5 linked regions of the Coturnix japonica genome follow. Each later gene encodes a partner of the first gene's protein in a complex. Links are inferred from orthologs where the notes say so. Each region holds a gene or a part of one and is shown in the gene's direction. Other genes may lie near its edges.

Evidence for each region.
Region 2: the proteins of FGFR1 (region 1) and PLCG2 are in contact, whole or in part, in a cryo-EM structure (PDB 8JQI), measured with the Homo sapiens proteins. The link is inferred for Coturnix japonica from reciprocal best matches to the Homo sapiens genes FGFR1 and PLCG2. Residues at the interface, in NP_075598.2 of Homo sapiens: Lys504, Asn506, His541, Lys542, Lys598, Ser602, Tyr605, Gln606, Arg609, Glu612, Tyr613, Ser616, Lys617, Lys748, Asp755, Arg756, Val758, Ser762, Gln764, Glu765, Tyr766, Leu767, Asp768, Leu769; in NP_001412678.1 of Homo sapiens: Phe528, Arg540, Thr568, Phe569, Pro570, Asn571, Phe577, His585, Cys586, Arg587, Arg589, Ser590, Thr591, Met592, Gly595, Leu601, Thr602, Asn604, Leu622, Arg623, Cys624, Ala625, Glu626, Phe627, Glu738.
Region 3: the proteins of FGFR1 (region 1) and KL are in contact, whole or in part, in a cryo-EM structure (PDB 7YSH), measured with the Homo sapiens proteins. The link is inferred for Coturnix japonica from reciprocal best matches to the Homo sapiens genes FGFR1 and KL. Residues at the interface, in NP_075598.2 of Homo sapiens: Asn272, Gln288, Leu290, His292, Ile293, Asn296, Gly301, Pro302, Leu305, Pro306, Tyr307, Val308, Gln309, Ile310, Leu311, Lys312, Glu322, Leu326, His327, Leu328, Arg329, Asn330, Glu334, Asp335, Thr340, Leu342, Leu349, His351; in NP_004786.2 of Homo sapiens: Ser539, Gln540, Phe541, Asp543, Leu544, Asn545, Val546, Tyr547, Leu548, Trp549, Asp550, Val551, Lys555, Arg556, Leu557, Val560, Val563, Thr565, Lys566, Arg568, Tyr571, Val573, Ala576, Glu625, Arg628.
Region 4: the proteins of FGFR1 (region 1) and FRS2 are in contact, whole or in part, in an NMR structure (PDB 1XR0), measured with the Homo sapiens proteins. The link is inferred for Coturnix japonica from reciprocal best matches to the Homo sapiens genes FGFR1 and FRS2. Residues at the interface, in NP_075598.2 of Homo sapiens: His409, Ser410, Gln411, Met412, Ala413, Val414, His415, Lys416, Leu417, Ala418, Lys419, Ser420, Ile421, Pro422, Leu423, Arg424, Arg425, Gln426, Val427, Thr428, Val429, Ser430; in NP_001036020.1 of Homo sapiens: Asn25, Val26, Asp27, Asp28, Leu33, Leu47, Thr49, Arg50, Asp53, Ser54, Val55, Trp57, Leu60, Cys61, Leu62, Arg63, Arg64, Tyr65, Gly66, Tyr67, Asp68, Ser69, Leu71, Ser73, Phe74, Gln81, Thr82, Ile86, Phe87, Ala88.
Region 5: the proteins of FGFR1 (region 1) and FGF23 are in contact, whole or in part, in a cryo-EM structure (PDB 7YSH), measured with the Homo sapiens proteins. The link is inferred for Coturnix japonica from reciprocal best matches to the Homo sapiens genes FGFR1 and FGF23. Residues at the interface, in NP_075598.2 of Homo sapiens: Glu159, Lys160, Glu162, Lys163, Lys164, Leu165, His166, Ala167, Val168, Pro169, Lys172, Gln244, Asp246, Val248, Glu249, Arg250, Ser251, Pro252, Val279, Tyr280, Ser281, Asp282, Pro283, Gln284, Pro285, His286, Ile287, Ala314, Gly315, Val316; in NP_065689.1 of Homo sapiens: Leu31, Leu32, Gly33, Ser34, Trp36, Gly37, Tyr43, Ala45, Thr46, Ala47, Arg48, Asn49, Ser50, His52, His66, Ile75, Arg76, Ser77, Glu78, Asp79, Ala80, Gly81, Val83, Val84, Tyr93, Phe108, His117, Gln118, Thr119, Asn122.

Annotation. Positions count from the first base shown.
Region 1 is NC_029537.1:3,723,606-3,729,220, reverse strand, and holds the start of FGFR1 (fibroblast growth factor receptor 1), read left to right. Parts: upstream 1-1,732; 5' UTR 1,733-1,936; intron 1,937-5,615. UniProt on the Homo sapiens protein: Tyrosine-protein kinase that acts as a cell-surface receptor for fibroblast growth factors and plays an essential role in the regulation of embryonic development, cell proliferation, differentiation and migration.
Region 2 is NC_029526.1:13,917,544-13,922,564, forward strand, and holds part of PLCG2 (1-phosphatidylinositol 4,5-bisphosphate phosphodiesterase gamma-2), read left to right. Parts: intron 1-908; coding exon 909-1,089; intron 1,090-1,661; coding exon 1,662-1,730; intron 1,731-2,510; coding exon 2,511-2,620; intron 2,621-3,424; coding exon 3,425-3,521; intron 3,522-3,932; coding exon 3,933-3,999; intron 4,000-4,261; coding exon 4,262-4,419; intron 4,420-5,021. UniProt on the Homo sapiens protein: The production of the second messenger molecules diacylglycerol (DAG) and inositol 1,4,5-trisphosphate (IP3) is mediated by activated phosphatidylinositol-specific phospholipase C enzymes. It is a crucial enzyme in transmembrane signaling.
Region 3 is NC_029516.1:155,891,399-155,896,419, reverse strand, and holds part of KL (klotho), read left to right. Parts: intron 1-763; coding exon 764-1,032; intron 1,033-3,868; coding exon 3,869-4,985; intron 4,986-5,021. UniProt on the Homo sapiens protein: May have weak glycosidase activity towards glucuronylated steroids. However, it lacks essential active site Glu residues at positions 239 and 872, suggesting it may be inactive as a glycosidase in vivo.
Region 4 is NC_029516.1:32,157,574-32,163,283, forward strand, and holds the start of FRS2 (fibroblast growth factor receptor substrate 2), read left to right. Parts: upstream 1-2,399; 5' UTR 2,400-2,545; intron 2,546-5,710. UniProt on the Homo sapiens protein: Adapter protein that links activated FGR and NGF receptors to downstream signaling pathways.
Region 5 is NC_029516.1:67,143,957-67,149,574, forward strand, and holds the start of FGF23 (fibroblast growth factor 23), read left to right. Parts: upstream 1-1,885; 5' UTR 1,886-2,007; coding exon 2,008-2,230; intron 2,231-4,396; coding exon 4,397-4,500; intron 4,501-5,001; coding exon 5,002-5,439; 3' UTR 5,440-5,618. UniProt on the Homo sapiens protein: Regulator of phosphate homeostasis. Inhibits renal tubular phosphate transport by reducing SLC34A1 levels. Up-regulates EGR1 expression in the presence of KL. Acts directly on the parathyroid to decrease PTH secretion. Regulator of vitamin-D metabolism.

The DNA of each region.
Region 1 (5,615 bases):
TGAAAGGAGCCCCTTTGTGGTGGGGAGGAGGGGAGATCTGCGGATCTTTAAGTGGGAAACCGAAGGTCAGGGCAGCCCCTATTCTCCCAGCAGCACCTTCAGTTCTTCCCTTGCTGCCCAAGCACAGCAGCACATGCACACAGATCCTGTGGGCTGTTCTGCCAACGGAGCCTTACGTCCCTTTTATCCTCATGCTGTTCTTGATTAAGAGCAGTTCAACAACAATCCCGGGTTCCTGTGAAATCCCCATCTGCAGCACCTTGAGGCTGCATTGATAACGTGGGATGGAATGGCACATCATGGCCACACATGGAGAACCCCCCGGGTGGGCAGGGGGCACTGAGGCACCATCCCCAGCCTTGTGCCCACCAATGTCCCAGCAGACTCCATCACTCTCAGTGGCAGAGTTGGGTTTCCTGCTCTTCCAATAGGACCCATTTATGCTCCACTTGTGCCACCAGATGATGATAATTCATGGTCATTCCCACACTGAGCCCCAGTTTGATGCTGGGGATGTGGATATACCCCTGAGCCTCCTTGGGCAGGGGATGCTTTTCCTATTGTCTGCCAGTTCTTTTGCTCATAAGGGCCCATTTACCAGTGTCTGTTGATGGAATCCAGCAGAAAAACCATCACAAGAGCAAAAGGGACGTGATTCCTCTGCCTGCCTCTGTGCTTCCTGCTCTCAGCAGCCTCAGTTTGCCAAGGGAATAACGCATGGTACCTTCCCCTCCCTCTGTCCACACATCTGTCATCCTGGAAAGAAAGTATTCGTAGGTCTTGGCACAACACTCTGAACAGTTGCCTGAAGCAGCAAGAGGCTGTTCCTGAGATGGATGCCCAGCATTTGGTTCAAATATAGCGATGGTGATTGACAGGGCTAATTCAGCCTGTCCTCTTCCCTGTTATAACTTAATCACTTGCACATTGCCTCGCGCAGATCTTTCCCTGCCAGCCAGGAGATGTCTTCATTCTGGGCTGCCTTGGTGTGAAGCTGACTGGGGGCTGCTGGGCTGAACCCTGGGCCAGTTTTGGGGAGCTCACCCAGAGCTGAGCTCCATCTGTGGGTCAGGCCAGGCTGGGCTTCATGGCACGGCCATACACCTCCATGTCCTCAACTTGAGCATCCAGCACAAATGCTGCCTGTGTATGCAGAGATGTTTTGGGGTGCTGAGCTTTAGGGCAGCACCAGAGCTCAGGGAGAGGTTACCCAAAAGCACAGCACAAACTGCAGCAGTGGTGGTGGCTCCCAGGAAGGTGTTGGGTATGGAAACTCCATACAAATCGGCCCCACGATGTGGGTTAGGGGTAGGGATAAGGGTAGGGTGCCCGGGGTGTCGCAAAGCAGAAGATCTGGGGTACAGGGCTGCCCCACACCTGCTCCCTGTGTGCAGTGTAGGGCACACAATGGGGTGAGTCACAGCCGAGAGCAACGGAGCAACAATCCGGCGATCCCCCCGCTCCACGAGCGGAGTTTTCGGGGACCACCGCCGCCTTCAAACCCCCCCCCGCCCCACTCCCGAGAGTCCGTTCCGGGGCGGCTGCCGGCAGCTCAGCCCCGGGGGCTCCGAGGGGGCGGCCCGGCGGTGACTACAAGCCCCATCAGGCCGCTGAGGAGGAGGAGGAGGAGGGCTGGGAGGAAGGCGGGGGAGGAGCCGGCGGGAGGCGGCGGGGCGCTGCGGGAGCGGCTCAGTCCGGCGGCGGCGACTCGCGGCGGGGACGCGGCGGTGCGGGCAGCGCTGAGCGGCGGCCGTCGGGGCGGACCGCGCCTCCCGGGAGCGCATCCCGCCGCCACCTCGGGGCCGGGGTCCGCCATGGGGCGGCCGCAGTGAACGCGGCGGCGGCGGGGCTGCGCTCTCGCCCCGGCCGGGGCTCCCCTCCATTGTTCCCGGGAGCGGCGGGCACCGCGCCTCCGCCGCCGCCCCGCGGGACTCCGGTGAGTGCGGGGAGAGGGAGCGGGGCCGCGATTTGTGCTTCGTGCGGGGGGGGGATCGCTCCGGGATCGCGGCCATCCCCATCCGACCGGGGGGGGCGGCCCGACGGGGCCCCTCTGCGGGCAGCGCGGGGCTGCGGCTTGCGGGTACCGAGGGCGCGGGGCTGCGGTACCGGAGGTTCGGAGGGTTTAAGGACACCGGAGCGGTTCGGTGTGTGTGCGGAGGGGGTTCGGCTCTGAGCCCCAGGGCACCCCGGGCAGCCGCCCGGCGGCACTTCGGAGGCGCGGTGGCTCGGTGCCCGGTTCTCGGGTCGGTGCGTTCTGCTCGGTTCGGTGCCGAGCTCCGGGACTCTCCGTGTTGAGGATCCGGTGGGAGCCCGGAGCTTCTGCCCGGCCTGCGGCCGCCAAAAGTTACTGGGCGGGAGTCTGGAGGTTTCTAAAAGAAGATGGAGAAGGAGCTGGGATTGTTGCGTTTGGAACTCGAGATGTCGGGGCCTTTTCGGTACAAATCGGCTGCGGAGGCGATGGAAATGAGCCGGGCTGAGATCTTTGTGCGTGTTGGCGTGGGAGGTGAAGGGGATCGGAGCGTCCTTTGCCAGCATCGGGGAACGGCTCCTGCGTGTGCGCAGCGTGGCGGCCGCCTACGCCGCAGCATTGGCGACATCGCGGGGCTGATGCGTGCGGGACCGATGGGCGCGGGGCTCCGCGTGGTGCCGTGGGGTCACAGCGGTTCGGTTCTCGGTTTAAGGCCGGCGGTTGCCGCGGGGAACGAGCGGCGCTGAGTGTCCATTTGAGGCGGATTCCAGCGAGCGGAGCCGAGCGCCGTGTGGATTGTTGGATAACTCGGCGGTGCTCCGGGCGTCACGGCTCAACGGCCAGACCTCCAAAGTGCGATTTAGCGAGTGCTTGCGTTAACAAAACTGCGGCTTTGGAGGCTGCTCCCAGGCACAGGGAGATGGAGCTTTGTGCTCGGCACTGATTTGCAATCATGAGATCCCGGGATGTGCCCGGCCGGGATGCTGCAGGACCCCGCACCTCTCCCTCCGGCCAGCAGCCATTTTCCCCGCACAGGAGCACTTCCTCCCTTAATCTCCACCGTGCCTGGCATGCACCGTTGCTTTCTTGTGTTGCTCAGTGAGGATTAAAACAAATGAGGATCGTCCCTGCCCCGGCAGGAGCAGCGCTGTGCTCTGTGTGCACTGCGCCCACTGGGAAGGAGCCCGAGCTACTTTCAGGTGCAAACGGGATCTCTCTGTTTATATACCTGAAAACAAATGAAGTGTATTGGGAGCTGAGGATCTCCAAGCCCCCATTGCTCAGCCGGGCCTGGAGCACAGATGCTTGTCCCAGCAGTTTGACTTTACCCTCATTGGGACCTTCTGCTCCTGGGGATGAAGGCAAATGTGAGCAGCGGGGATAGGTCTGCGTGTCCTTCCGCCCGCAGTAGCTTTCCTGGGAGGAGCTGAGTGCAGCAAACCCCATCCCGCTCCCTCCCAGCTGGGTAACTACTCTGCCTCTAACAGGGGGTGGGGGCTGTGTCCCTGTGTCCCATTCTAGGGCAGCTCTTTGCTGGAGCACTCAGCACTACCAGCATGGAGCAGCCTTTGAGGGATCAGCATGCCTGAAAATCAAGCCCCCAGGTGGGCATCCCTTCTTTTAAACCTGATCTGCTTTTACTGAGCCTTGTGCCCCACCAGACCCCCATTCACATCACTGCATGCACGCAGTGCGCTGTAACTCAGTGCTGGAGCCGTTGGTGTGCAACAGGCTGCACCATGTGGCTGCAAAGGGTTAATGCTGAATGCAGCCCGCACAGTTGGATATTTATTTTTCCAAGCATGCGTCTGCTTTAAGCATTACTGATTTTCCCTATAGTTACATCTGCAGTCGTGTTTGCTTTTTATTTCAGCAAATACTTGGTTTTGAGCGGGCGGTTGGGTCAAGGAGTGCAGGGCAAGGAAAAGGTTCCCTGTGCCACCAGGAGCTTTGCCTTTGCTGTGCCCTTCTGCTGCAAGGGCACATGGAGGGGCTTGGAGCCAAATTCATCCTACATCATTGTCAGGGTCTCCCATTTGTGGTCACCATCTCCTGCCCATGGGTGGGAGCATCACCTCAGGGTCCCCATGTGGAGCAAATGGAGCCCCTTAGGGATGTCCTGGTGACCCTCCCAGCCCCATTCCCACCTGGGGTGTCCCGGTGCCGTGGCCCTGCTTGTATCCTCACCTTGGACACTTTCCCAGGGATGAGCCATATGCTGGGAAGGGGTTTCCCCACTGTTCTCTGCTCAGCATTGGGCTGTGTATCCTATGTGCAGCTCACTCAGCCCTGACTCACAGCACAGGGCGAAGGTCCGGGGTCATTTTGAGGACAGCAGGGCTGGCAGGTTGCACCTATGTGGGCAAAGGCTGTGCTGGGGTGGGAGCGTGCACAGGTGGGCATAGGGGTGTTCCTTCAGCTCCTAAATAGCCCCGTGGGTGTTGTGGCCGTTGTAATTGCAGGTCTCTAAGGGGCCCTTAGCTCTGGTTCCTCGCTTTCTGCTTCCATTTTTAGTCACTTGAATCCACCCCAACCAGCAAATTGCAGCGTGCAGGGACAGTGCTTGCATGGAAGGAGCTGGAAACTCACGCTGGGGCTGGAGCAAGCAGATTCCTTTGGGGATCCATATCTGCACACAGAGCGGAGCTGTGCATTGTGTGCACAGGTTGGAGGGTTCCTGGGCTGCTCTGCCTCGCGTGCATCACTATCCCTGCTGCAATGGAAACTCTCTGCTGTCGGCCCCTGAGTCAGCGCCCGCCCCACTGCAGCTGAGCCCCACTCTGTGCCCTGACTCACTGCTGGGAGCCGCTGTGTGCACCGTGCTGGGGGGGGGGGGCTGTAGCCACTCCACATTAGGGCATGTTCCGGGGGGTGCTGATAAACAAAACCTCAGAGAGACAGAAAATACTTTCCAGAAATGCCATTGAATTTGTTTCTTTCCATGAAGCGTTCCCACCTCCTCCTTCCAACCGCTGATAAATGGCTCACACTCCATCAGTGTTTTCACCAGCTATAGATAATGCCCGTGTTTGCTGGGTGTTCCTGTCCTTGTGTGAATAGTTTGGGTGCCAAATGCTGAAGAGCTGGTAAGGGAAGAGGCAAAAGCTGCCCCAGGGTTAAATGAGGTCCTTTGGGACAGAGGATGCCCCGTGGTGGGAAAGGGTTCATTGGGAAGCAGGAGCACGATGGCATCCAGGGCTCCAAGAGCACGTGGGGGGATGAGTGGTGGCCCATTACTCACTGCAGTGGTTACTCACCTTGTAGTAATGTGCATTGGAGCCAGATCCCATATGGCAAAGAAGCACTTGTTCACGCGGTGCGCTCCGCACGGGGCTTTGGGGTGATGTCAGAGCAGCACCAGGTGAGCTCATGTGGCTGCAGCTCCACCTCTGTGCCGTCCCCTTCACACCCTCTGCTCCTGGAGCAGCCATCCATCCCAGGGTTGTGCAAGATGGGGCACGGAGCCCTGTGGGAGCCCAAGGGGGCCATTAGTGACCGCGGGTGTCAGGACCTCGGCTGGAGGCTGTTGTGGAGCTGCAGATGTCGCGGAGGGAGGAGTGCAGTGCTTGGATTGCAGCCTAAAGGCTTTGGGGTCTGACCGCTCAAGTCGGGTTTGGCTGCGTTGGAGCACAGAGCAGCACAGCTC
Region 2 (5,021 bases), on another chromosome or scaffold:
GGTGGGGTTTTTTTTTGTTATTCTCTTTTTCTTCTTCCATTTAAAAATGATTGTTTATTTTTTGAGTCATAAAGTCCATGCTGTCAAATTCGGAGTAATTAGTATGGCTGATTTGTATAGCAGACCACGTGTGGTCAAAATTGTGTGAGAAAGTGTACAGCAGTAAACTGTCAATGGAATAAACCTTAACTTTACAAAATTGGGCACCAGTTGTCCCTTTTTTTGCAGTGCAGAGCTGTGTGTGACCCTTCTTTAATTCCTTGACATTCCCTGCATCAGAGCACTGTTTTGACTTTCTTTCTGGTGCTGGTTCAGCAATAATTCTTTATCCTCTGGGAATTCCACCCTGTCGTCTGACTGACTTAAATCCGTTCGGTATCTGTCAAAACAACAGTGTTTTCTATCTATTTGTAGGCTTTTATTGCCAGGGAAAATATTTTTGAAACTCTGGTGCCTATAACAACATTAATAAAATGTATGGAATTATGGTATTCTCCATTGTGCCTTCAAATCAAATTGCGTTTGAGGTGAGTTTGACTTATTGCTTAGGGACAGCGGCAGATCAGCAGCGGTGGATTCCGAAGGGACTCTCAGTCTGATTCTAGACATTTATGTTCGTCTGAAAGTGACAGAATACCCCCGTGTACAGGAACAAAATAGGGAAATTTAATCTAGGCAAAAACATGGATTTTTCCCGAGGCCCTGTATGTTGTAGAAAAGTCAGAATATCTTTTTATGAATTTAATCAGGCGAATGGAATTCTATTTGAATAAAAGATGTTTTGGAAGAGGGAGAAACTATTTCACGTGATTAAGATGCGTAAAACAATTTTAGTCTAGTTTGCAGCACTGATGCTTTCGCTATGCCAAGTACCAATACCTTCAACAGCACTTATACTTGTTTCACAGAGCTGAGGGGAAGGTGAAGCACTTCCGAATTCAGCAAGAAGGTCGCCATTTTGTGCTTGGAACATCAGCCTACTTTGAGAGTTTGGTGGAGCTGGTAACATACTATGAGAAGCACCCTCTGTACAGGAAAATGAAATTGCGTTACCCTGTGACTGAGGAGCTGCTGGAGCGCTACAGCACAGTAAGTGATGTCCTTTGTATGAGTGCCAAGTGCTTTAGCAGATGGAGTCCCAAGTCTGGGTCTGGTGGAGCTGGGTTTGGTTTTGCCTGTGATAGATGTCCTTCAGGGAGGCTTAAGCAGTCTGTGAAATCAAGATAGTTACACTGATTTCTCTAAAAGTTTTTCAGACATGCGAAGGAAAAAGCCTCATCTTCGTTAACAGGGTGGCTTCTGCTTTCCTCATAATTTAATTAGAAAAGCTCTTCCATGAAATGGGAGATACTGCTCTGTTTTTTATAATAGCCTCACCTGCAGTTGGCTCTCTCTTCTGCAGGGAAAAACGAATTTGCCATCTTTCAGGAAATTCAAGTCTGTTTTTTTCTGTCTCTTCTGGACTAAAAGGAGCAGAAAGAATTTTAGACCTTGTGATTATTGTTAATATTGATGCTCAGCTGTGTTCAACTATGGAGATGGAGAGGGAAGCCAGACACCTGTCTTATGATCTTCAGTTTGCATCTCTATTGTCAGAAAGGTATTTTTCTAAGTTTTGATGACTGTAATTTACCTTTTTTTTTCCTTTTTCCCATTTTTAGGAAAAAGATATAAACTCTCTTTATGATGTCAAGATGTACGTGGAACCCAGTGAAATCACCCCTACAGTGGTATGTGTTTGGAGAGATGGCCTTCAGATCTTCTCTTAGACTTCTGAAAACAATGAGTTCTGTTCTGATTCACCCATATTGGGAATTCAGGCACTTCTTGCTATTTAGTCTGTGGAGGTGGCTTGATTTGTACATGTGCTTATTCAGGTGTGCTCCAAAATTTAATACCAAGCAGCACAGCAGACATTTCCTCACCTCTAATTCTTGTTATGGTCTCCTCCTGGATTCCCCTAAACTTCACCTGTTTGGTTAATTCAGTGGCTATAATTTTCTTTTAGTCTTTTTGGCTGATGTATTTAAGTTGCTACTGAAGAACTGGAGTACTAATAAGATAAAGCAATGATTTTTTCTGCTGAAACTAGATGTCTTCCTAAAGGAAATGTGAGCAGCAGGATAGCTGATGTGGTTTGGAAGTGGAAGCTCTCTGACTGTATACTTGCCTATGAGCTCCAGCTGTATATAAATACCTGTAATGGTGTAGAAGATTGACACTTCTTTTTTTCTTTGCGATAGTAATTATGTTGCAGTGCTTTTCAAAAACCAAACAAAACACTTTTTTACCCAAGCTGATACTTGAAAAATAGCAGTTAAGTAGCATTACTTGCTTCCAACAGTGGGTGTCACTATGAAGCTTTAGTACTGTGTTTTCCAGGCGTAACAGCAACAGAAAAGGATTCAATTCCACCCTCTCCTCCTCCTCTTAAAAACAATAAAATTGCATTATTGATCATTTTATGACCTGTCCCCCTGGATGACCTGTTTGCTTTGTTTCTCTTAAAGCCTCAGAGAACAGTGAAAGCCTTGTATGACTACAGAGCCAAACGAAGTGATGAATTGAGCTTTTGTCGAGGAGCTCTCATTCATAATGTCACAAAGGAAACTGGAGGCTGGTAAGGACAAAGATTCCTCGTAGGAGAACTTCTAGTGGCTTACTGGATGGGAGAGGAAGATTAAACTTTGGATAGCGTGTTTTTAAAAGCATGCCTGTTTGATGGCTGCTTATTAAATGAGGCCTTATAAATGTTAATACTGATATACTAAATGAAAGCAAGAAACATCAGATGTAAATCTCCTGTCTTTTACATAGTTTTTGGCCCTACAGAACTAGCCTCAGCTTGCAGAATCTTCATCATACCAGTGTATCCCCTATTTCTCCGTTCCTACTTTAATACTTCCTTAACACTTGTGTTCTGAGAAGTTGTGCATCTATTACCTGTGTCATCATTACTGTGTTTCTTTTGCTCTGTTTAGTACTTCTCAGGAATGAAATCCATTTTATTTAGTTGTCTGTATAGTTTCCTTTCATCAGTGGCTTTGTTTCTTAGCTGCCTTGCAAATTGCTTGGGAATCTAATATTTCCCTGTAGTTTCTGCAGGGCAATCAACCACATAATAGTATTTTTAGTAGTGGAGGGGGAAATGCCTCTTAAGTCATTAATTGCAGTATACAGTAGCTGTAATCCCTCTGAAATGATCTGTTACTGCAGTTAATGATCACTTTGTTAGATCTTGCAACTACTTCATCGCTTATATTCTTGGCGATTGCCAACTGGAGAAGCTATTGTTGGGTATTAATGACCAATTTCTTGAGGATTATTTCATAGAATCATGGTATCATTTTCTCATTAATGGCCTGTTGAAGCACTTAAACTATTATTTTTTTTTTCTCTGTGTATGCTTTTTGTCTTAATTCAGGTGGAAAGGGGATTATGGAGAAAAAGTGCAACACTATTTTCCATCTAATTACGTTGAAGACTTGTCATCTGATAATTCTGCTGAGCTTGAAAGCCAGGTGAGGTTTAAGGTTTGACTTCTGTGTTTACTGAGAACACACTTCCTGCTGTGAATCTGGTTTATGGACTTCAGATGCTTTGTTTAAGGGAATGCAGAATAAAGAAATGAATGCATTCTTCACTGTTCTCTGTGCTGTCAAGCATTTTAGTCAGGATGTCCATCAAGGAAAACTGCTCAAAGAGATAACTGATTTGATTCTGTTTTCTTGTATATTATACCAGTATGGATTTTTATTTCACATGGCTTATCTAATCTATAACTTGCCTGAAACTTAGAATTAGTTTGCCTTTTAAATATTACAGTGGATATGCCTTCAATGAAAGTGTAATTAGATTGAGTGGTGTGTATTTATTATTTGTTAATGTTCTGTGCAGAAGACTGTGTCAGCTGTATCTCATGTTGTTCACAGATTATTGAGGACAATCCTCTAGGCTCTCTGTGTCACGGCATCTTGGTGCTAAATACGTACAATGTTGGTATGTACTTTCTGATTTGTGCGTGTTGACTCCTGAACTTTCTGTGCTGAAGTGGATCCCTTATGTTTAGCATAAAATAACTGGCTTTGAAAGCTATTAGTATTCATGTAGCAAATACTATCAATACTTTAAAAGATTCTGATACTAATTGTTCGGTCCCATAAGAGCACTTATTGCGGCCAGGACTTTAACAGTGCAGTTTAACAGTGACAGCATAGAAGAACTGGATTTTAGTGTAAACTTTTTGCTACTTACCTGACAGTGAAAATGCCACAAGGGAAACACAAAAAGCCTTTTGTCTTCATTTTGGAACCTAAGAATCCAGAAGATCCGTGTGTTGAATTTGCAACTGATAAAGTAGAAGAGCTGTTTGAATGGTACCAAAGCGTCCGTGAAATCACATGGAAAACTGCGGAAGAGGTATTGTTAAAAATATACCCTTTTATTGGTTTTTAATACGTAGTGCTGTAAGTTTACAGTAGGACTTGTTTTATACCGCTAAATCTTGCTAAACTACGTACCTAATCTGTGTACCTGTACTACTACCTCTACTTAAAAACGTTCTTCAGGACTTCCTTTTCCTGCTCTGATGTATTAATTTACTTCCCTGTTGTCTTTTTTGGTATTTAAGAAGTCTTTGACATGGCCAAACTGCCCTTGTGTTGACTACGCTTAAAAACACCGTTTCCTTCTCTGTTTCTACTCTTTATTATTGAGTGGGTGTTATGAATGACAGAAAATATTTTTCAGTATCATGTTGGCTTGTGCTGTTTATCTTTCATCTGCAGTGGCAATATTCTCAGGGTCATCAGAATCCCATTTATAGCAAGCAAGTTGGTGCCTCAAGCAGAGGGGGCAGCAAATGCAGCAAGGGGAGAAACAGCAGGAACTACTGTAGAGGGAGGAGAGATGTGATTCTTCTGCCAGGCTTCTGTTTAGAAATAAAAATGAGAAAAAGAGAAACCTGGTCTAGAAGAAGTGTCTCTAAATGGGTTGTTTTTCATAGCACTTCAGTGGCTCTT
Region 3 (5,021 bases), on another chromosome or scaffold:
ATTTTGCTGAATCTCAGTGTTTGATACAACTTAATGTGAGAATTGCTTGAAATCTCAAAGCTGCAACACTGGCTATACTAACAGTTGACAGTAGACTCTTACTTTAACCTAAAAAGTGTGTGGAATCTCACAAAAGCCAAACAGATGACCTAGAATATATATGTTTACAAATCTTTGAATATTTAAGCTGGAAAACTCTATGCCATAAAATATATGAGGGGATAGAATTAACAGTCTTTACCCAAAAATGTTGTCCAGGCTTTCTTCATCTATATTAATAGTGGAGAGGAATGGGAAAAATGAGACTGTCTGGGTTTGGGGACCAGGTAGTGCTACGCTGGTGACACTTTGGCTCTGGGAGAGCTGCAGCACACGCTTAGCAGAGCACAGCAGTACTGGCTCAGAGGCTGCACACTGTTCAGGCACAGCATGCCCTGCTCCAAGGCCAAGTATTGGCACACCTTGTCAGCAGGGCTGCTTGATCTGCTGCTGCATCACTACTTTTTTGAGTCTGGATTCTTTAAAGCCAAGTCAGGTAGTTTTGCTGACTTGCATAGCATGCCCGTGTGCTGACAGCCTGTCCCAGAGCATCCTTGGTGCAGCTGAAGTATCTTTCTTAAGTGGGCTTTAAAGCAGACCCTAAGATTATACTTATCTGACCTATTGTTCTTATGAGTAAATACTGCATACTTTGCTGATACAGTATAATCTACTCAGGAAAAAAAGAGCCCTGCAGTGAGTTTGGGTTTTGTTCTTTCCTCAGCCATCCGGTACGATGGAGTTAATGTGTTTGGATACACAGTCTGGTCCCTCCTGGATGGCTTTGAATGGCACAGGGGATACAGCATTCGGCGCGGATTGTTTTATGTTGACTTCCAAAGCCACGACAAAAAGCTGATACCAAAATCTTCTGTCTTGTTCTATCAAAAGCTGATAGAAAAAAATGGCTTCCCTCCTTTGCCTGAAAACCAGCCCATAGCGGGAGTCTTTCCCTGTGGCTTTGCCTGGGGGATTGTTGACAACTACATTCAGGTAAGTCTGACGGTGCAGCCAGTAGGTTCTCCAGCCAAACCACTGGACAAGATCATGTTGGTAAATTTGCTGAACGAGGACTTTGCTGGCATATATTACTACAGCACTGCAAGGAAATGGGTGTAAGACTTACAGCAAACACTGTGCCTTTCATCCTTCACTAGACTTTCTTTGTGTGACCAAGGAGAGCCGGTCTAGCATACAGTCTAGGAAAGAATGACCTAGAAAAACGTATAGAAGGGAAAGGGTCTGATGCGCTTTCTTGGATATGTTGAGTGATGTGTTACTGAAGTCAGTTCTAATTCTATTTAATGGAAGTTGCTTAGATGTGCTAAAGCGTGTTTCTAAAGGTCCTAATTTATGAGACTGAGAGTGTCACTACTCTTTCAAGTCAATGGCAATGTGTTTGCCTGCTGTGGTTATGCATGTTATAGAAAATTTCCTGAAAACTCCCAGTGCTTAAAATGGTTTGTTTCCACATCTCATTTGTATACACTTTGGCACCCTTGTTAGAGGACTTATGTGTTAAAAAGAAAAAAAAAAAAAAAAGTAAATTACTTGAATTTAGATAAAATTCCTGTATTCCTTCCTTGCCCTTTAGTATAGAACTGTGTCTGACTGAAGCTTCAGCGCCCCTGGATAACACGCAGACTGAGTGAGGATCCAGTTCATAGCTCTCACTGGTTTTGTTTTTGCTAAATCTGATATTTCAAGAGAACCTTTCAGACATTAAGACTTCATAATGTGTAAGAACTGTAGCTTAGTTACAGTCTCTAACTGTTAGGCTCTGTAATTTGTAGGCGCTGCTTTGGCTTACAGGGCTCCTCCCACCACAGTGAAGATGTGCAGTTAAATTCAGCTCCGAGTATGGGTGCAAGAACAGTACTTTTAATTTAAGTTATCCTCAAATACAGAATATTTCTTCAGGCTGGAGTGTAGGGATTGTTTGTTTTTTCTTACTCCAAAACTAAGATCAAACTTTGTTCTCTTGAAAAATATGGCACCCTCCTTATCTGATACATCGATTTCCAAGAAAATTCAACAGTCATTATCCTCCCAGCTCGTAGATAGATTAGGGACTGGAAATGAAATTGCTGCCTTTGGGATCAATAACTGCTGTAAAGTTACAGAGTCAGTCAGCCTAAGACAGGTAAAAATCCCCCCTATCCCCTAAACCTTCAAAGCTGAATATTTTCATTTCAAAATGCTGTCCAAACAGTTTGTGCTGGTACAGCTTAGGTAGCGTGATTTGTAGATGCATCACAGTGGAAAAACTCTTTTGACAGCATTCCCAGAGTATTAGTGGAAATGCATGCTTTAGTAATCTACAAGGGACAATTCTCCAGAAAAGCAATTTCCCGCAGACACGCTGTTTTTTATTACTTTCTTCTATAAGCACTGCACTGACCTCTCCGGAGAAAATAGCAGCTGATTTTCAGCAGCTCTTTATACAGTCTGCAGTGCCTCAGCTACGAGTTGAACACTGGTTGTAGGCTGACACCTGCTTTTCAAACAGAGGGCAGGACAAGGAAATCTTAACTCTGGGGAGCCTTGCGCTAGGAGAGAGACAGGGACAAATAAACAGATATAAAGGAACAGCACCTTTATGTCTGGATCTTTCTTTTATGCCAGATTATAAAAGAGGATTTTACTTTGTGCAGTATTTTGCATAATTCATTTTTCCATTTTCTAGTCCTTATTATGTTTGTGATACTCACTTAAATTTGAAATTGTAATTCTGTGGGACTTGGAGGAGCTCCTGTCTTATTGTCTGTTGCATGTCATAACAGGCACATCTGACATCTGAAGCCCTAAGACTTACAGGAAAACTGCTTATTGTGGGGTGACATATAGTAATAGGACAAGGGGGAATGGTTTCAAATTGGGATAGGAGAGGTTTAGGTTAGATATCAGGAAGAAGTTTTTCACTCAGAGGGTGGTGACGCACTGGAACAGGTTGCCCAAGGAGGTTGTGGATGCCCCATCCCTGAAGGCATTCAAGGCCAGGCTGCATGTGGCTCTGGGCAGCCTGGTCTGGTGGTTGGTGACCCTGCACACAGCAGGGGGTTGGAGCTAGATGATCATTGTGGTCCTTTTCAACCCAGGCCATTCTATGATTCTATGATACTCAGAGGTCTGAAAAAAAAATCCATCAGAAATTGACATCTTGCTGAAATAAGTTGTAATTGAGTTCTGTACAATTAAATGAAAAAGGACTTCTTTAGCAGGAGAGAAAAAATTTGCTTGTCAGCTGAATTTGTGCTAAAAATCAAGTGCGGAGCTTTATACGTCCTGCATCATAGTCACAAAGAAGAAAAAAAAGACACAGAAATGATGTTACATTCATTATTTATTTTACTCTGCTCAAGGAGTGGTCTTGAAAGAGAAGCCAGTGGGTAATTTACATCAGCCAGAACCTTTGGTGTAGCTTAATCCTGAAAGAAAAACATATTTAAAAAGCCTGTAGCTTTTGCTGCAGATCTGCTTCTCTGGAGATCTGCTGCTGTTTTAATGCTTTAGCCCTGAGCACTCCCTCATTTCTTTGAGTACTGCAGCAATCTAGAGATGGCATAAGCACAGTAACTATTAGCATAAGCTTGTATGGCAAATAGGATGAAAAAGATGTGTAGATTTGGTACTGTTCCGGCATCACATGTTAGCAGAGAATTAATTCTTTCATATGAGCCCAAAATGTTACTGTATCAGAGATCTGATAAGTGCTACACGTACTTTTTGTCTTGCAAAGTTCTGTCAGTGAGTTGTGCCTGATGGTAATGATGTTCCCACACACCTAGAACAAACACCTTGAATCTGCTGTGTTTCTGATTCTACCTAGGTAGACACAACTCCTGCACAGTTTCTTGACCCTAATGTTTATGTGTGGGATGTTCACCAGACAAAGAAGTTAATTAAAGTGGATGGAGTTTTCGCCTCCAAACGCAAGCATCACTGTGTTGACTTCGCTGCCATCAGACTTCAGATCTCTCTCCTGCAGGAAATGCACGTCACTCACTTCCATTTTTCACTGAAATGGTCTTCAGTCCTTCCTTTAGGCAATCTCTCTCTAATCAACCACACACTTGTCCATTATTATCAGTGTTTTTGTAGTGAACTTCTCAGAGTTAATATAACTCCTGTTGTTGCTCTCTGGCAACCTATGGCTGAGAATCAAGAGCTTCCAACATCTCTTGCCAAATATGGAGCTTGGGAAAACTCAGAAACTGTTCAGGCTTTTGTTGAGTATGCAAAATTCAGCTTTGCAAGTCTTGGGGACCATGTGAAATTTTGGATCACAATGAATGAACCGTCTGTGAAAAACTTGACATACACTGCAGGACACAATCTGTTGAAAGCCCACGCAAAAGCATGGCATCTTTATGACAAAGAATTCAGGAGATCTCAGAAGGGTAAAATATCTATAGCTCTGCAAGCTGACTGGGTAGAACCAGCTTGTCCCTTTTCCAGGAATGACCAAGAAGTTGCTGACAGAATTTTAGAGTTTGACATTGGCTGGCTTGCAGAGCCCATCTTTGGCAACGGTGACTACCCACATGTGATGAGGGCATGGCTTCACCGGAGAAACAGCATTGACCTGTATAATTTCCACTTGCCTTCTTTCTCAGAAGATGAAAAGAAATTAATCCAGGGCTCATTTGATTTCTTTGCCTTAAGTCACTACACGACTACCCTTGTGGGCTGGGAGAGAGAAGATGCACTGAAATATGACCACTATCTTGAAGTTCAGATGATCAACGACATCACATGGCTGCACTCCCCCAGCAGAGCTGCAGTAGTGCCCTGGGGACTGCGTAGAATTCTCAGATGGGTTAAATCAAAGTATGGTGATGTCCCAGTTTATGTTATGGCTAATGGAATTGATGATGACCAGAATATTGTGCACGATAAGCTCAGAGTATATTACATACAGAATTACATCAATGAAGCCTTAAAAGGTAAGCTATCATAGGCAGCTTATATGCCACAAATAC
Region 4 (5,710 bases), on another chromosome or scaffold:
TCTTCCCCAGATGTGACAGGAATAAGTACAGAAGATCTGTCAGATTCCAGCAGTCACTTCAGGAGGGGTTTCATTGTGTGAATTAAACTGTACAGAAGCAATGTCTTTCTTTCTTTCTTTCTTTCTTTCTTTCTTTCTTTCTTTCTTTCTTTCTTTCTTTCTTTCTTTCTTTCTTTCTTTCTTTCTTTCTTTCTTATCCTTCTTTCCTTCCTTCCTTCCTTCCTTCCTTCCTTCCTTCCTTCCTTCCTTCCTTCCTTCCTTCCTTCCTTTTTCCTTTTCTTCTTCCTTCCTTCCTTCCTTCCTTCCTTCCTTCCTTCCTTCCTTCCCCTTCCTTCCTCTTCCTTTCTTCCTTCCTTTTCCTTCCTTCCTTACCCCTTCCTTCTCCTTCCTTCCTTCCTTCCTCCTTCACTTCCTTCCTTTCTTTCCTCTCTCTTTCTTTTTCCTTTCTTTCTCTTTCTTTTCTTCTTTCTTTCTTTCTCTTTCTTTCTTTCTTTCTTTCTTTCTTTCTTTCTTTCTTTTCTTTCTTTTTTCTTTCTTTTTTTCTTTCTTTCTTTCTTTTTTCTTTCTTTCTTTTTCTTTCTTTCTTTCTTTCTTTCTTTCTTTCTTTCTTCCCTCTCCTTCCCTTCCCTCCCTTCCCTTCCCTCCCTTCCTCCCTTCCTTTCTTCCCTTCGCTCCTTCTCTTCCCTTCCCTGCCTCCCTTCCCTTCTTCCCTTCCCTTCCTTCCTTCCTTTCCTTCCCTTCCCTTCCTTCCTTCCCCCCTCCCCTTCCCTTCCCTTCCCTTCCCTTCCCTTCCCTTTCTTTCTCTCTCTCTCTCTCTCTCTCTTTCATTTTTAACTGAAATGTTGACAATGTAACTAATGATGAAATTATTAATGAAGCAGTGAGCCACTGGTTTAAATTATTGGCTCAGTTTCATTCTTCTGAAAAAAAAAAATAGTATGAACTCCCTGGGGATAGGATTTTTTCTGAAGAAGAGCAGATCGGGCCATAAGAGGCTGCTACATGGCCATTACTGTATGCAAGGGCTTTGTTTGACTGTGAAAACAACAACTTCTTGATTTGACATACAAAGGGTCATTCTACTTAGCATGCCACACATGAGGAGAGGCAGAATGTGACCAGTGTTGCTCTGTTCAGCTAACACAATAAGTCCCGCTCTCTCTCTTTATAAATCTGTTTTCCAGCTCCTGAAATGTTTGCTATAGAGTTTTTTGTTTTTTTGGTTTTTAATAAGTTTTTGTTAGTGTCAAATGGACTTTGGAACTGATAGAATAAAACTCCACTCCTAGGTAGCATCTTACAACAGAGAAAGAGAGCGAGATGCTGTACCACACTTCAGCCAGGAACATGCTTTTGCTGCTGAGTCACAAACCCTGAAAGGAACCATTATATAACAGCCCTCACCTACAGCTGAGTTAGGTGGTGCCTGTTATGTTTCAGTGTGTAGCTGAAACATTTAGGATGGAAACTGGTATCCATCTCCAAGGCTTTGATCAGTATTGATGCTGAAGTGTACACAACTCTTGCTGATCAGAAAGGGCTGCCCACTAGAGGAGACGTGAAATGGGATGGAATCCAAAGGACACTCCAGAAATGCAATCTGGCATTCCATCCCCTCAGAGTTCCTTCTTTGTCAGACCCAGGAGTTAAGAATATGAGTAAGGCAAAACTTTATTAATGAGATAAATCTACTGATAACAGTTCACATACGGTTGGGCTGCTCTCTTGATTACAGAACTGAATAGTCTTTAATTTTTAAAGTAGCTTACAGGCAAGGGCAATAATCTAAGGCCAAATTCCATGATAAATCTTACAGTGTACAGAAGTTGTCTCTGCTTTCAAAGCTGATTAAAAGGAAGTTCCGAGTGATGTAGAACAGAACTGAAAATGCCATCAAAGAACTTGGAGGTGTTCAAGACCAGGTTGGACGGGGCCCTGGGCAACCTGATCTAGTAAAGGTGTATGTTTGGTGGCCCTGCCAGGCAGGGGGTTGGAACTACATGATCCTTGAGGTTCCTTCCAACCCGGGTCATTCTGTGATTCTGTGACTTAAAGCAACGTTGGTTCATAATTTGTAGACAGTTGCAAGCAGTCTTCAAAAGAATGGCATCTATAGCGCATCTCAATGGACGAGCAGTCATCTCAGTCTGGGATGATGAAAAATGACTGTAGATAGGACCAGCAACCAATAGAAGATGGAGAACTGAACTGTCAAAGAGACAACGGACATTCACGTTCAACCGCTGACTACGAAGCCGCCTCGCCCCGTGTCCGCCGCGCCCGTCGGCCTGTGAGCCGGCACCGTCTGAGGGACCCACACGGAGCGGTGAGGAGCCCGAGCGGGGCTCGGCGGGGCCGTGCCGCCCCGGAAGGCGTTCCCGCCGTGCTCCGGAAGCTGTGCGGCTGAGTCCGGCCCAGAGCGAGGCCCTGTCGCCGCCGCTGTCGGGAGGCGCCGCCGTTCCCCGCCGCGGACGCGGGGCCGCCTCTCGCCCGTGGTAGGCGGCCCGGCCCCGGGCTCGGCGGCCGGCGCGGGCTCATGGCGGAGGTGGGTGCGGGCGCCGCTCCCGTCCCCGTCCCGGCCTCGCCTCGCGGGGCGCCCGGCCGGCTCCCCTCGCCCCTGCCCCGCGGCCGGGGCCGCGCTCCTTCCCCGCCGGAGTGTGCGGGGCCGGCGGGGCGACGCGGGCGGGCGGGACTGCGGCCGGGAACCGCGGGCGGGAGGGGACGGACGGAGGGAGCGGGGTCGGAACAAAAGCGGAGGCGGCCGGGCCGGGCTGGCGGTGGGGGCTGCCGGGGGCAGGAGCGGAATGCGGGAGCGGCCGTGCCCGCCCGGCCTGCACGGTGCCACGGGTCGGACATGGCCAGCTGTCAAGCTGGGCCGCTGCTCCCGGCTCTCTGCGATGTGGATGTGGGGGATCACGGAGGTCGGAAGGGGTTTGGGCACCGCTCTGCATCGGTTCTCTGCCCGAGCCGTGGTGAGACAGAGACGCTTTCTTGGCTTCATGGTCTCCGTGTCCTGCTCAGCATCAAAGCACGAGGGGTGGTGATGGTGAGAAGAGGTTAGGATGATGTTGGGCAGTTGGTAAGAGATGACACCGTGCTGTCTCTTAGCTTTTTATTTTACTTATAGTGCTAGTGACAAAGTGACATTTAGCATAATGAGAAAGCACAGCCGTATTGTATCTTGCTTTAACAGTGTTAGTGATAAATCATTCTGTATGATGACTCTCATTCAGTCCATACTGCTGGCTCTGCAGTACTTTTGTATTTAAAAGAACAAAAACCTAATTTCCCTAAGATTCATCTCTGCTTTAGAAGCGGGTCGATATGAAGAAACATTCAGATCCAGTAAATCCAGATTCAGATCTGTTTGTTTGTCTGGATCAGCAGAACTGCCAGCGAGGCTCCCTGGCTGTTTCCCTCAGTTTACAAGTGTGTCTGAGCAGCACAGCCATCCTGCGGGCGGTGTTGGAGCCTGCTTCAAGACAAATGTGCATTGATATCAGTGTGAGTCACCAGTTCAGGTCCAAAAATATTCCCTGCATCACAAATGGAAAGTGATTAAGAACGTTATTTCTTGACTGAGAAGCCCTGGGTTTATTTGCCTACGTATCAAGAATGCTTTGAAAATGCTTGTTGAAACAATGTCCCAGTGGTTGTATTTATATTTGGTTAAGCAGCTTTTTGCTCACTTTCCAGTTCAGTGTCTTGTCTCGAATGCTGGTGGTTGGCTGTAGTCAAAATTAATTGTTCACGATTCCCTTTTCAATCTACCAATGCAGTAATAAATGTAATTGCTTGTAGGTTTGCAAGGTTATTTCTCGCAGTCAGTGTGCACTACTACTTATAATAATTTACTTCTCGAAGATCACCTTGAAAGCAGCGATGTCCATGCTTAGTAGGGGATCTGATCCTGCAGTCAGCACTATTCACTTCTATGAGCCCTGAGTCTCACAGTTTGAGCAGTACAGTTCTTTGAGTGGCGTCTGAAATTCATTCCTCAGCAGAGCGGTTTACAAGGCTGCTGACGTTTGAACTCCAAAAGAAATGTATTAGAATCATCACGCTGAGCTGCTGTGGCAAATTGAAATGTAAAATAGGGCGGTACACAGGTGCACTTTGCAGCATCAGCTGTGGATTAAGACTGGATGTTCTGCTTTCAGCCTGCCCCTGGTTACCCCTTGTGCTGGGAGTGCCAGCTTGTGGAGCTGGGCTGGTGACGGCAAGTGGCTTGTTCTGTAGGGTGCCCAGAGGAGCTGGGGATTCTCCATCCTTGAGGTGTTTGAAGCCAAGTTGGATGGGGCCCTGGGCAGCTGGATCTAGTGGATGGCAACCCTACCCACGTCAGGAGGTTGGATATGGATCGGTCCCTTCCAGCCCAAACCATTCTATGATTCGTTCTGTGTCTTTTGGTTGATGATGCTCTGGGCTGGATCCTTGTGAGGTAGGGACGGGGTGTTTTGTGAAAGTGGTGGTGGGACTCACGTGCTTGAGGGGAAGAGCAGGGCTGCCTGGGCCTTGACCTGTAGCCAGCACTGTGGGACTTCAGCTGGGACTCAACTACTTCGTGTGAATGTGTTGCTGTCATGGACCATCTCCACCACAGGAGGATACAGTTGGTCCTCTTTGCTCTCAAGCTCCTAGGCACAGGCCGGTGCCTGTGCAGCACTGGGTCGAGGTGCACCCAATGGGGTGTGAGGGGAACAGGTTGCTTCTGGCAATGGGGATGAGTTGTGCCAGCCTGGAGTGTGCTTGATCCTGGCTGACTTTGGTGAAGCTGAGCTTGGGTTGAGCACGGAGGGTCTGGATGCATCGTTTGGTTGTGGTTTGTCAGCATGCTTAAAATCTGAGATCCTTTAATCTGTGGCAGTGCGACTATGATTTCAGTGTGCATTTTGAAGGGATTTTAAGTGAGGAGTCTTATAACTGCTGTTCATCTGTCGGATTTTTGAGACAATGAATTTGTTGTGTGTGTGCATTGAGCTTTTAAACATAAAGACTGAGAAAAGAAGATAGTTACCAGTATGTGCAAAGAAACCTGCGTGATGTTCTGCAATAATAAGTAAATTGAATGACGGTAACAACAAAGGATGAAAATGCTGAGGCTGACCTGAGACTTAATGCTGTTGGCTTCAGACAGTTGAAAACTGCTGTCCAGAGGTGTAATTCCATGCAGCATAGGCAGGTGTTTTATCAGTTGAGCAGAAGTGGTACAGGAGCAGGTATAACATAACAGACTTTGCCTCGTCCACTCTTAAGCATCGCTTTCTTTTTTCTTTCTGTTGTTGTTGTTGCCCTTTCTGTGTAATCAGAGCTATATGTAAACTTTCATTTCAGACCTGAACAGATTATAAACTGGTGTGTAGTTGTTCCTCATGTAAGTGTGTAAGCATCCGTTTGTGTGGGTGCGCATGTCAAGCATTCTCCATTAAAGCACTCTCTTCAGATTCCTCTTCACTGTCTCAGTCTGGGTGGCAGCAATCACAGCAGCTGATTGAGTTGGCTCTTTGTTAAAGCCCATTTTCCTGGAGCCATGTGATTCTCTAGAATTTCAGTCTTTCCCTCAGGCTTGAAATCGCTTTAATAAGAGAACTAATAGCTTTTCTTCTGATGTTTATACAACACAATGTCATGATTATTGCATGTTTGAGAATGACTGTATGTATTCTTTCCTAATTAGCGGAAGTGTTGTTGTGATTACTATTTCCTTCCC
Region 5 (5,618 bases), on another chromosome or scaffold:
GCCTCTTGTGGAAACCTTTATAACTGCTTCTGAGGTATTTATATCCACATTTCTACAGCAGTCAAATGAAACAGAGAAAAAGAAAAAAAAAATAATAATATAAATACTTATGTTTGAATACCAGACCCCTCCACCCTCCTCCTCCCCCCCCCAAACAAAAAGTGAATAACTTTAACACTAAATAGATACACTTAAAAAGGGAAAAAGAAAAGAAAAGAAAAGAAAAGAAAAGAAAGAAAAGAAAAGAAAAGAAAAAAAGAAAAGAAAGAAAGAAAAGAAAAGAAAAGAAAAAAAGAAAAGAAAAGAAAAGAGAAAGAAAAGAAAAAAGCTTCTTTTTCTTCTTAGATAGCTTTTAAATTAAGATGGAAAAAACATTTCAGACACTATAACCATTGAAATATCTGTAGCCTTGATTGCCTCAGAGTAAAGACAGTTTTGTCTGCCCGCTCAGCTTGACCCTTATACACTTTGGCTAATAAATGCTTCCATTTACACAGGTGCAAGTTTCTAGATTTACACAGGTGTGATAGAAGAATTTGGCAGAGTTCTACTAATTTTAAACTTAAAAAATAATCAGATCTACTATGGTAGTTTTATCAAGCTGTATTCTGTGCTGATGGCACTGCTCCACAGCTGTTGATGGGACTAAGAATTTCACAGTGTCTAACTAAATCCTGTAACTTACTAACTTCTCTGCCTGAAAGCAGTGAATCTAGGACTGTTATGCTTAAAATCTCCAGGCGTCTTCTTAAGAAGTGATTCAGTTATTGCTTTGTGCTCTTTTCATTCTGTATTCATTTCTGAAACAAACAAGCCAACAGCTAAATACAGCCTATTGTCACAAGTATTCCTATCACTGCTGCTTAATCTGTATAGCCAGCATCCCCTTAGTACAGTACTTCTATACAATAAGCAGAACAATATATGTTTCTTAATCAAAAAAGTTGCTGATGAACTGTTGTACATTGACAGGACAAACGAAAAAGCAGATATAGTATCTTGAAACCATTTTAACATCACTTTACACTTATTTCTTTTCAATTTACTCACATCCCAAGCTTGTTTGCTATACCTGAATCAATAGAAATGTGCCATTATGAGTGATTTTACTTTTGATTCAGATCCTAGATCTTCTAGCCATGCTAACCTATGTGGCTCTCTAAAAGACCACTAACCAAACATGCAATGAGGGAACAAACTTCAGATTCTAAGTATTCTGCAGCTGATCTTCAGCTGTTTGGTCAACTCCAAATTATTTAAGTGATTCAAAGAGGAGCAATAAAAAGAAGAGCTTAGTTGGAGTGAGGTGTGTGCACATCAAGTTTCACTTGCTTAAATGAGGTGACACAGACATCAATCCGCCAAACTCACTGCTAAAGTCACACCATAATGAAGGAACAGACCCAGAACAATTTAATCTCAGATTATGATGGATCTGTGATTTTTTTTTTTTAACTTGTGTTTTTGGTTTTAATTTGCTGTTTTCAACTAATCAGAATGTAGTTTAGAAATGAAGAGAGGAGGTAGAAATCTAAATCTGAGGGGAAAAAAAACACAATAAATTTAATGGGTCATTCCTTTCTCTTCACAGAAATTACAGTGGATTGCTCTTTCTGGATTTAACAGTAGAGGCACAGGAAACTTTAAGATGTCACAAGTTTGTCGATAACATTTGAACATATGATTAGCTTTGGTGAGCTGTCTTTAGAAACCTTATATTTCTTCCCCCTACACCTTGCCCAGAGATCCTACGTGCTTTCCTTCCCTTGAGGTTTTGGAAAACTTAAAATGTTGCTTTGACAAAAATCAAGGATGTGGACAAGTTTTTTTGTTTTGTTTTGTTTTGTTTTCCTGTGTGATGTCACTTATCCTGCTCTTCATAAAGCCCTGCAAAGAAGGGAACTTATCTGAGGATTCTTGCTGCAGACACAGACAAACAAGGGAAAGTGAAAAGCGCAAAGGAGTATCAAGTTTCAGATACGGAACAGCCACTAAGAGCTGAGAACCATGACACACACCAGTCCCTGCAGCTGCCTGGAGTATGCGCTGCTTGTGCTGTGTATACTGAAGGCTGCAGTTGCCTTCCCTAACTCCTCTCCACTACTGAATCCCAGCTGGGGGAATGGAGATCAGCTGATGCACTTGTACACTTCTACAGAGAGGAACAGCTTCCATCTCCAAATCAATGCTGATGGACACATCAGTGGTGTTCCTCACCAAACCATTTACAGTAAGTAGCTTATTATGGACCCTCTGTCTTCATGGGAGTAGGGGAGGGGGATCAAGACTTTTGCTTTTTCTATACCTATACAAAATTCCATCATCTTGCCAGGCATACAAAGAGAGGAGCAGAGCTATGGGATCAAAAACATACACAATTCTAATACTCATTTTGTTTAACAAATACTTTGCTTTAAAGAAATATAACAGGTGGGGAAGAGGTATATACATAAGGGGTACAAGGGGTATATAACAGGTAGTTATCTTTGTCTAAGATGACTAAAGTTGTGTGGTTCCTGTGATGCTCTGCAAGCAAAAATTACCTGAATTATCCTTCATTTTATGATTTTACCCATGGTTTCTTGTGGAATTTTTTATTAGTGATTACATTTCCACTGCAATGATAGCATTGCACTGAGAAAAATCACCACAGCAGTTGTGGAAACCAGATTATGGTCATAACATATTTTGGGGTGGAGATATTCGATCTACTAAAATTAGGTCATTTTCTTCCAAATGTATCAAAACCACTCTTTATTGAAGATTGGTTTATAAGAGAAACTTTAGTTATGTGTTTTTAATGCAGATGCATGGCAGAAACTTAGTTGTGCATGGAATGTGGGTAACTGAGTGTGCAACAGTTGATAAAATGGGGGGAAACTGTGAAAGTCCAGATTGTAGTTAAGAAGTGCTAAGCCTTCTGAGTCCATCAGAGGTAATTATTCCCTTTTGTAACTCAAAGGTTCCATTGTAGTTTATTTTCATGGAAAATGCAGGTATTCTTTGCTGGATGCCTGCCTGAACAAATTCATTAGTTTAAAAAAAAAAAAAAAAAAGAAAAGAAAAAGAAAGAAAGTGTAGTTTGGTTTGGTTTGGTTGTCTTTTTTTTTTTTTAGGACAAATCATTCTTAGATAGGATTCCAAAATTGCTTCTCTTTTAACAGCACTCAAATCACAAGTAGCTATGCATCATAAAGTCATTTTTATTACTACTGCATAACATGCCCTTCATCCACACAACTATATTTAATAAGCACATCTTGTAATACTTGTGCAAAATAATATAAGGAACAAAAGACAATTTTAGAAGTTTAATTTATCAAAGAGAAAAAATAACCAAGTTCCCGTATTTCTCTTTTAAGGAATTACTGATGAAACACTTATAGGAATGTATGTTCTGTCTTAATGTTATTTTTCCCATACATCTATGGGTTTTATAAAATTTGTTTTTTGGCATGCTGGGCTATAACCAGAGAGAAGCAAAAGAGAAAACAGCCAGTAAAAATCCATGTTTTGCCCATATCTGTAATGAAAAAAATCCACATATATTTGGAAGGATTGAGTAGGAGGGGTTGAAATCAGTCAGTGGGGTCATGAAAGGGAAGGTGACTGAATTTCTGCCAGGTCACCACTAGCAGTGAGATTCCAGGTAAATAGAAAGTCCAAAGTGCTGTGCAGGCTGGGAGGAGGCTGGATGTGTGCAGCCCTTCTGGGCAGGAACTAAGGGTTACAGAGGGCACACACTCAGTTTAAGAAGATGGCAAGCCATGTACTGTGGTCAGCAGGTCAAGGGAAATTACTTTTCAGCCTTTACTTAGCACCAATGAACCTGGTCTTTTTACATTATTATGTAAAAAAACTCTGTTTCAGATGGACGTGGAGAAATTGGAACTGGTCTAGCAGGGAGTTTTCAGGATAGTCAGTGGCCTTGAACATGAACATAAACAATTTTGGAAAATGTTGAGGGAACTAAGTTTATTTAATGTGGTAAAAAGTAGTTTAAAGTGAATACCATGGGGCAGTCACTACAGGCAGTCATAAAGATGAGGCAGTCAGACTCCCTCTGGTCATGGCCAGAGACAGAACAAAGGAAAAACTGGCCCAGAGTGGAATTTGAGGCTTCAATTGGGATGTTAGAAAAAAAATTTCTTTGGAATGTTAGTGCAGCACTGGAACAAGGGTTCAGACAAAGATCAAGATCAGATCAAGAGATGTAGTGGCATCTCCACTGTAGGAACTTTCCAAGGATCAAACAAAGCCACATCGTACCTGATCTAAGGAGCTCAATAGTCCCAGCTGACATAGAAGATGGGTTCAAATCAGCATGTGGACCAGCAAGGCAAGAGTGTGGTGTCAAATGGGATTCTGGATTTGACATCTTTGCTTTCTCAAAAAGGTGCCTTAATGATCAAGTCTGAGGGTGCTGGCTCTGTGATAATCACAGGTGTGAAGAGTGGACGCTACCTATGCATGGACATGAAAGGAGACATTTTTGGATCGGTAAGTTACCTTTAACAGGTAAAAGACAGGCACAGTCTGCTATATATGATCCATTTCCTCACATAGAGCAAATCTGTATAAGTACAGCAGTAGGATGCAGATTTTGGCAAGCTGATAACCTGCTGCTTAGGTTAAACTTTTTCTCCTCTTTGATTGCACTGAATTGTAGACCTGATAAAGAGTTCATCTGAGTTCCTGCTGGAATATATGAAAGCAGAAAGAGATCCAGTGAGATCTTGCAGACTTGCTACAGTATACATTCACAGTAGTTCAAGCAATGCAGCCCTCTGCTGAAACTAGTGTTGGCTCAATAACACTCCTGTTGAAAATTCAGACATTCGTACTGGATTAACATGAGTTGTCTGAGTTGCAGACCTGGAAGATCAGAAAACACCTTCTGCAATGTCTCATCTGTCTTTTTGTCTTTAACAGGTGCTTGTACTCCACCAAATCCCTTTGTTGACGTTTGTCTTTTTTTTTATTTTCTTTCCCTTCCCTAAGCATTATTTCAGCCAAGAGGACTGTGTGTTCAACCAAAGGACACTGGAAAATGGATATGATGTGTACCAATCTCCCAAACACAATTTTCTGGTTAGCTTGGGCAGAACTAAGCAAGTTTTCTTCCCTGGTATGAATCCACCACCGTACTCCCAGTTTTTGTCCAGGAGAAATGAAATCCCTTTGTTTCGATTCAACACACCTGAACCCCACAGAAACACTAGAAGTGCAGATGTCGATCCAATGGATCCTCACCAGATCCTGATCCCACAGAGAAAGGTCTCTGCATTAGATTCTCTGCTGCAGCTGCAAATGGACTTTTCCCATGTGCCCAGAGAACCCGTGAGAGTCAATCAGAATGATGTAGTCAACCCAGATGACCCACACGCTATGATGGATGCCAGGAGGTATGCTAGTCCTCGCTTCTACATTACAAGATGACGGCAACCACTTGCAAATTGATGACGCAGATGAATATAATAGACAGAAGTGCCTAAAACACTCAACCTGATTTCTAACCCTCAAGGTGGCTGCTAGAAACCTGAAGAACATTGACAAAAACCAATTTTCTTTCAAATTTTGTCCTTATGCATGACAGTTTACTGAAAAAGGGTGTTGCA